Rattus norvegicus: one gene and its partner. The protein of the gene in region 2 binds, or shares a complex with, the protein of the main gene of each other region. Links are inferred from orthologs where the notes say so. Each region holds a gene or a part of one and is shown on either strand. Other genes may lie near its edges. The genes, in order: Med20 and Med16.

Region 1 (3,806 bases), on a different chromosome or scaffold from region 2:
TAAATGTTAACACATATGCCTTACACTTGGGGAGTGCTGGTGTGGGAAGCTCACTGCCCCAGGGTAAGACACTTGAGACCTGTGCTCTCTGCCTGTTAGAGGAACTCCTGGGCACTGCAGTAGGCCTCTTCCTTTCTCAGGTATGACGGTGGAGATCAGAGATGTCTAGAGTAACCCTGTCGATCTGTTACCTGTTGGGGAATTGAGTGGCTTAGCCAGGAGATATGTGTCTCCTCCGGACACTGCTGACTTGAGGTTCTGTTTTTCAGTGTGTCCCAGATGCCTGTGGCTGAGGGCAAGAGTGTCCAGCAGACAGTGGAGCTCCTCACCAAGAAATTGGAGATGCTTGGAGCAGAGAAACAAGGAACATTTTGTGTGGACTGTGAAACTTACCACACAGCTGCCTCCACCCTGGGCAGCCAAGGTCAGTAGATGGCTGTAAGCACATGGGTGGAACCTGGCTTAGAGTCCCTCCCATATTTATGTAAATGACATGTTGACTTTTCTGCCGAGGGTAGCAGTCTTGAACGAGGCAGGATGTGTTTGTGAGCTCATTCATTCTTGGTGGGTCTTTGACTATGGTGGTCAGTTTGCAGTTTGACCCTATTTGTGTGTGTGTGTGTGTGTGTGTGTGTGTGTGTGTGTGTGTGGACACGTACTTGTGCCCTTATATGTGGCTATATGCACAAAAGTATGGGTGCTTATGGAGGCTAGAGGTGTCCGATCCCCTGGAGCTGGAGTTACAGGTAGTTACCAGCTACCTGCTATGGGGAGCTGGGAAACTGAATTTGGGTTCGAGGCCAGCCTGGTCTAGAGACTGAGAACCTTTCTGAGGAAACAAAGATTGTACACAACAGGAAGCACTTCCTTCATTAAAGAATAGTGTTGGGGCTGAAGAGATAGCTCAGCAATTGAGAGCACTGGTTGGTCTTCCAGAAGGCCCGGGTTTGATTCCCAGCACCGACATGGCAGCTCACAGCCATTTGTGACTCTAGTTCTAGGGGATTCAATGCCCAGTGCCCACTATGGACCCCTGGTGTGCAGGTGGTGCACAGACATACATGAAAGCAAACCAGTTATACACATAAAAATAAAATATTAAAAATCAGTGTCCCAAGGGTTGTAGCTCAGTGGTAGAACACTTATGCAAGGCCTTGGGTTCAATCCCCAGCAATCCCCCTTCCTCCTCACAGTTCTTACCTGCTTTTGAAAAGTTTCAAGGCAGTGCAGCCTGATGTAGTATGATCCAGGTATGTAATTGCAGTGTGTAGCCCTGAGACAGAATAAGATCAGCTTCGAGGGCTGACATATTTCAAAGAGATGAATTGTCAAAGAGATGACAGGTGTGAATCGGCAGTGTGGACAGAAGGGATGGGAGCAGGAAGTTCAGTGTAGAGCCTGCTGGCAGCAGAGAGGCCAGCGCACTGCAGGGAAGGCACTGACCTGCTCCCCAATCCTCTTTCATTACCACACTTTTTACTTATATTTTATTGTGTTGTTTTTGAGACAGGTCTCACTCTGTAGCCCTGGCTCACTCTGGCTGTCCTGAAAGTCACTGTGTAGACCGGAGCAGCCTCACACTCACAGAGACCCGTCCGGAGTGCTGGAACAAGAGTGCGTCCTTGCTCCTGGCTTTGGTTTTATTTCTGTAGATGGTGCCTGTGGAGGTCAGAGGGGAACATAGGGTCCCTTGGAGCTGGCATTACAGGCACTTGTGGGCAGCGCAATGTGGCTGGTGGGTGCTGGGACCTGAACTCCATCTTCTGACAGAACAGGGAGTGAATGAGTGATCAGAGCCACTGAGCCATCTCACCAGCCCCTTGTTATGCCCCTTTGTTTGTTTCTTCCTTTTGGTTTTGTTTTTAGGACAGAGTTTCTCTGTGTACCCCCTGCTGTCCTGCAACTCTCTCTTTGTAGACTAGGCTGGCCTTGAACTCACAGAGGTCTGTCTGCCTTTGCCTCCCAAGTGCTGGGACTAAAGGTGTGTGCCACCACTGGCTGGCCCATGCTATGAGTGCCATCTTTCCTGCCCTGTCAGACAGACATTCTTCTGCATCCTCCTTCACGCCTGGTTTCTCCTTTCATCTTACGCTGACAACTTAGAGTTCTGGCCTTTCAGGTAATCACCCTTTAAAGTTTCATTTTGTAGGAGTTAGGTTTTTGTGAGAGATGTTTTGTGTAGCTCAGGCTAGTTTCGAACTCACCTTGAGTTTCTGATGCTCCTGCTCCCAGCTCTCTAGTGCTAGGATTATAGCCTACCACAGTCAGTTTATCTGGTGCTGGGGGTAGAACCCAGGTCTTTATGCGTGCTAGGCAGGGGCTGTCATCACCAGACCCTTTTTATTGATTTTGTGTTTATTTATGTGTATTACACATGTGCATGGTTGCTTTTGCCATGGCATGGGTATGGCGTTATAGATTCCAGCTTTCTGGAGTCTAAGCTCTCCTTTGCCCACGGGCCTCCCAGAGATCAGACCCAAGTCAGGCTTAGCAGCAGGCTCCTTTACCTGCTGCACTACCCCCTCATCACCTGCGCACGGATGGCGTTTGTTCTGTTTTGCTGTGGGTGTGAGAGCTTGTGCATGCCCACACCTGAAGGCTAGAAAAGGACATTGGATGTGTGATGGGTTCGCCTACGGCCCTCTGCCTGATTGACTGCCTTGAGGCAGGGTGTCTCACTGAACTGGAAACTTGCCATTTTGGATATCTGACTGGCCAGTGGACTGTTAGGGTCCACCCGCTTCTGTTCCCCAATGCTGGAATCATAGGCATATGTAGCTTCCAGGCTTTCTCCTGGGTTTGGGGGATTAGAATTTAGATCCTCACTGAGTTGTCTTCTCAGGGCCCGCTCCCATTTTTTAAAGTAGATGTCTGTTTATTTTTCTATATTTTTATTTCATATGTGTATGCATATATATATACCCTTATACGTGTGTATACAAATGTACCCTAACAAGGGAGTAGAGGTCAGAGGACAACTTGCAGAAGTTGAGGCTCTCTTTCCATCATATGGGTCCCAGAGATGGAACTTAGGTGGCCAGGCTTGGTGGCAAGAGCCTTAGCCTTACCTTGCCGGTCCTATTTTTTACTGTTTTCAGACAGGGTCTTATACAGCCCAGGCTGATCTCAGACTTGAGGCAGTTACACTGCGTGGGCCTTTGGAAAACTCTTGAGCTTCCATGCGGTGCTTCTTAGTTAGAGACCGGGTGTCCTTGGGAAGCTGTCCTCCATCCTCAACCTCAGTGTCCCCAGTGCTGGGTTACAGGCTTGCGCCGCCTTTGTCTTACATTGTAAGCTCCTGACTCTTTTTTTTTTTTTTTTTTTTTTAAGATTATATTCATTTGATGTATGTGAGTACACTGTCGCTGTCTTCAGACACACCAGAAGAGGGCATCAGATCCCATTACAGATGGTTGTGAGTCACTATGTGGGTGCTGGGAATTGAACTCAGGACCTCTGGAAGAGCAAGTAGTCAGTCCTCTTAACCTCTGGGTCATCTTTCCAGCCCCCTCCCCCCCCTTTTTTTAAAGAGTGTTCTTCTTTAAAAACATTTTTTTGGGTGCTTGCCACCAAGTCTGACAGCTTGAGTTTTATCCCAGAACCCACATAGTAGAAGGAGAAACAGACTTTCCCAAGTTCCTGCCTCTGAATCATATATGTGCTCCTGCTCCAAAACACAAATACGTGTGTGTGTGTGTGTGTGTGTGTGTGTGTGTGTTGTGTGTGTGTTGTGTGTGTGTATTATTTTTTTTTTTGGAAGGGTCTTTGGTGGGGGTAGGGAAATAGCTTAGTTAGTAACTGTCTTG
Region 2 (4,576 bases):
TCACGATTCTTCACTAAAGACACGCATGCATTAGTTTACCTTACATGGCATCGTTGAGCTCAATGCTGTGGTAACGCTGTCACTGAGAGAAAGTCAGCCAAGAACTGCTCCTGAGGTTCCTGGTGTTTTTCTTCAGGATTGAACTACAGCTGCTGGTTCGTGCCTGGTGTCTGCCTGCTAAGTCCTATTTGGTGTTTGCTGCGGGACTGAACCACTGCTAGCTCACCCTCAAAGAGCTACTGCTCATCAGGTCCACTTCCCCCATAGCCTAACAGCTTTTCTCTTCCGCTGCCTCTGCTGGGCTAGAGGACTAGGTTGCAAAGAGCTTATGCCCACGGAGTCCCTTGGAGCTGGAGTTACAGATGGCTGTGAGTCGCCATGGAGGGGCTGGGAATGTACCCAGGTCCTCTGCAGGAGCAGCTGGTACTCCTACCACTGAGCCACCTACCTCTCTAGCCCTTACATTAAATTTGGAGAACAAGTATCACTGTGTAGCCCTGGCTGCCCTGGACCTGGATATGTAGACCAGGCTGGTCTTGAGCTCAGAGAGAGCTGTCTGCCTCCTAAGTACTAGAATTGGGGATGAGAGGCAATGTGAAAGCCGTTAGGCTCCAAAAACCTGTAGCAATCATGGAACTGAATTTTGGTTGTGCTTCCTGACCCACAGGCTGCCACTTCCCCTCCCTTACTAAGGGAAAAGGACTTAGAGTCCAACTCTGTCCCCGCTCCTAAGTGGCTGAACTCCAGAATATAGACAGACAGGAGGATTCTGGGGTCTGAGGATGTTTGTAAGACAGCACTGCAGACGCAGACATCTGTTAAACAGACTCCCTGTCCAGGGGCCATAGCTGAAAGGGAGGCTCAGGGTTAGAGGCTCTCGGGGACAGCAGTAACCCACAGGTACTCACAGCACATGCCAGCCCCTGGTTCCGTTCCATGTACCCCTTGGTCCCCCAGTGGTACACTCACCTTCTCTACGTGCAGTGCCAGTTTCACCCCGTTATGCAGCCAGGACAGAGCCACGATGGGGTCCCCTTCCACCTGGCTGCCCACGGAGCTCTCCCAGCTGTTGGCCAGGTGGTCAGCCATGCTCCAACATTTGATCTGCCCGTCAGCATCGGCAGACAGGAGCCGGGACCCTGTGATGAAAGAGCTGTGTCAGGAGCCCTTCTGATGGGCAGGTAAACTGCTCGGTGTCCCCTCCCCACTCTGGACTCCCAGTGGGCAGTGGCTGTCCCCAGGCTCCAGACTTAGGACTGATGACTGAGGAAGGTGGCATATGCTGTCCTGGGCTTTGGATTGAGAGCAAACCTCATGGCCTCACCTGACTGGTCCCATTCCAGGCAGGTGATGGCCTCACTGTGGCCAGAGCTGACAGAGTGCACTTCCCAGGGATGTTCTGTGTCAAGGATATGAATCATGTGTGTGAGGTCTGCAGGAAAGAGAACACTGAGGTCAGTGTGGTCCACAGTGCCCATGATTCCCACCCCCATTGCCCCTCTCCTATAACACCCCTCCCCCATGCTGCTAATCCCTACACAGGGTATCCAGTGCAGCCAGTGTCTCTCCAGAGGCACTATCACTAGATTTGGAGGATGGTGACCAAAGTGTGGATGTCTCTTCTCCCACCTTGCTTTCCCAGGCCTCTCTAAACCCTGTAGCTGGCAATGGAGAGCCTGGCTCTGCCACCATGAACCTACCAAATCGGGACCCATTGTATGAGGAAATCACAGCCCACCCACTTGGTCTCAATCCCCAGGTCCCAGTCAGGGAAACAGAACTAGCACTTACCCTGGTCATCATTGCGTAGGTCTGTGGTGAAGGCAATGAGGTTCCTGCAGGACCAGGCGCAGGCCAGGGGCAGCGACGGGCAGTACGTGCTCTTGGCCCACTTCTCCCATTCGCACACATAGGCTAGGTCCATCATACCCACCGCACCCAGCACCGTCCCTGGCTCCTGGGGAGAAGGGAGGCATGCTCTATAGCAGCTCCCGGCTAAAGTGGGTCTAGAATGTTCTCCAGCTCGAGCCCTGCTAGAAATTCCATGATGCCCCACCTGAGGTCACCCCTCCCTAGGCCACCTATCACCCACCCAGATCGCTGTGAGCTCAGCCTACAAGTGCTAAGCACCCTCACACACACAACCAGGCCCACTCCTACCACTTCAGTCTGGGCCTCAGTCTACACTCCAGAGACTTGCCCCGGAACCTAGTAGCTCAGGCCGCGTCCCAGCCCATTAGTCCCACTCGCAATAAGTTAACATCCAAGGCCCACCTGAGGCTTAACACACGTGCTTCACCGCGTCCCGCCCAAGCTCGTTAAGCTCCACCCACACTATCTAATCACACTAGGCTCTGCTTCCAAACAAAACTACTAACTTTATTCATCCCCCGCTTCTCTTCAGTTTGTGACTATCAGGTCACCAACCCCTCTGCATCAGTCTCAGATCTTCAGTCCCTAACCCCGACCCACCTTAGGCTCCGCTCCTTAGCCCACCGCCTTCTCTATCAGACTTATTGCTTCAGGCTCCGCCCCTTCGCTCAACTTCGGAACCTCAGGCCACGCCCCTCCCAGGGAGTCTCAGCCCCTCGGACCACGCCCCCTCCCCAGCCTAGTTGCCTCAGGCTTCACCTTAAGCGGGGAACCTAATCACATCTCCCCCTCACCGGCCTCTACCCAGCAAGCTTTGTTCCCAGGCCCGCCCTCTGACCCCGCAGGCCCCGCCCCTCGGCCTTCCGCTCGCGGGCCAAGCCAGAAATGCACCAGCCAGGAGTCCCATACCCCGCACTCCGCACTGACCTGTCCGCCCCGGGCGCCCAGCCGACCGGGCGGCCGCGGTCCACACTCGCCCCAACGCCCGGGATCCGGCGCCGCCATTTCTCGGCCCGCGCCGGCCCCCTCGAACAGACTTCTGGGAACCGGACTACGCCCCTGCCCCGGTTAATTTGCATATAATAATTTCCTAGTAATTATTGAGGCTACACGTGCGATAAAAGACAAATAATCTGTTCTTTCGAATGATTGGCTAGATCTTATAGAAAGGCTTAACTATATAAGCAGGACAAATACTATTCCTTCAGAGAAAACTCACCCTAAGTGCGAAGTAGCTCAATTTTGAGCCTATAAATATGTCTTGGGTAAGCCCGTAGTTCGTGCTCGCTTCGGCAGCACATATACTAAAATTGGAACGATACAGAGAAGATTAGCATGGCCCCTGCGCAAGGATGACACGCAAATTCGTGAAGCGTTCCATATTTTGCCCTCTCAGAGGAACTGGCATACAGCATAACTGGCATACAGCATAACGTCCTACGAAGGCCCGCACACGTTTTTCCCATTTTGTTTCTCGACAGAAGGGCTCATTGTAGCTCAGGTTGGCCTCCCACTGATGAGGTTCTCCTGTAACAGCTTCTACCTGCTGGGGTGTCAGAAGTGCATCACCTGGCCATGGACTTACTTACACCGTTGGGGGTGGGGGTGGGGGTGGGGGTGGGGGTGGGGGTGGGGGTGGGGGTGGGGGTGGGGGTGGGGGTGGGGGGTGGGGGTGACATGCCTGCCACAGTGCAGGTCAAAGGACCCGGAATTAGTTCTTTCCTTCCTCAGATTGCTGAACTTGCCAGCAAGCACCTTAACCCGCTTAGCCATTTTGTTGGCCCTCAAGTGGCTTTTGTTTGTATGAGGCAGGGTCACTGTGTGGCCCTGGCTATGTAGACCTTGCACTCAGATATCCATCAGCCTCTGGCTCCTGAGTGCTGGGATTGAAGGTGTCCAACATCAGACTTGTCTGTCCCATATGGCCCAGGCTGGCCTGAAACTCACTTGACCCATTGGTCACATGTAACGGTTTATGTGGTATTGGAGATGGGACCAGGGCTTTGAGCATGGTAGCCAATGCTTTCCCCACCAAACCCCAGCCTGGCACCCATCTTTATGCATTTTACATGTTGTAAAATGAACTAACGCATCAAGACTTGAGGTTCCTCCACGTCCAGATCTCCAGCCTCAGTGACCTAGTCTCATCTCTCCCACCCCACCAACCCCAAAAATAAGCACACAGCAGGCCCGAGCACCAAGGCTTTATTAAAAGTGTCCCTTTCCCCAAGCACAAAGAGTCACACGGAAGGGGAAGGGAGGACTCTGCGTGACCACAGCTACGCCAGGCAGCAGAGGGGACAGAGGAGGGGGACAGGGTACACAAGGTCAGAGGCTTCTGGCTGGAAGTCCTGGACCCCTGGTGTAAGGGAGGAGGAGGAGAGGGGACCGTCTGAAAGGCAGGCAGGGAGCTGGGGACATAATACACACGTCACCAAAAAAGAAAGCATAAAATGAGCCCTTGGGACGAAGCTTGTCCAGGTTCACGGGCACATGGCGTGCATACATGTGCTCGCACGCACTCTCACACACACGCGCAAACACACACACACACACGCGCGCGCGCGCAAACACACACACACACACACACACAAAACAAAAGTGCCCTGGGGAGGTCAGCAGAGTCCTAGAGAGGACCAGCCACCCTCTTCAGAGCTGAAACCTGGAGGGGTCAGGCAGGGGTCACAAAAGAGCCCACTACTGG

Evidence for each region.
Region 1: Med16 (region 2) and Med20 share a complex: the UniProt entries of both Homo sapiens proteins name them as parts of the mediator complex. The link is inferred for Rattus norvegicus from reciprocal best matches to the Homo sapiens genes MED16 and MED20.

What each region holds. Positions count from the first base shown.
Region 1 is NC_086027.1:20,873,240-20,877,045, reverse strand, and holds part of Med20 (mediator of RNA polymerase II transcription subunit 20), read left to right. Parts: intron 1-269; coding exon 270-424; intron 425-3,806. UniProt on the Homo sapiens protein: Component of the Mediator complex, a coactivator involved in the regulated transcription of nearly all RNA polymerase II-dependent genes.
Region 2 is NC_086025.1:10,447,629-10,452,204, reverse strand, and holds the start of Med16 (mediator of RNA polymerase II transcription subunit 16), read right to left. Parts: upstream 2,933-4,576; 5' UTR 2,878-2,932; coding exon 2,800-2,877; intron 2,618-2,799; exon of another isoform or gene 2,473-2,617; intron 2,034-2,472; exon of another isoform or gene 1,958-2,033; coding exon 1,792-1,957; intron 1,433-1,791; coding exon 1,325-1,432; intron 1,140-1,324; coding exon 970-1,139; intron 1-969. UniProt on the Homo sapiens protein: Component of the Mediator complex, a coactivator involved in the regulated transcription of nearly all RNA polymerase II-dependent genes.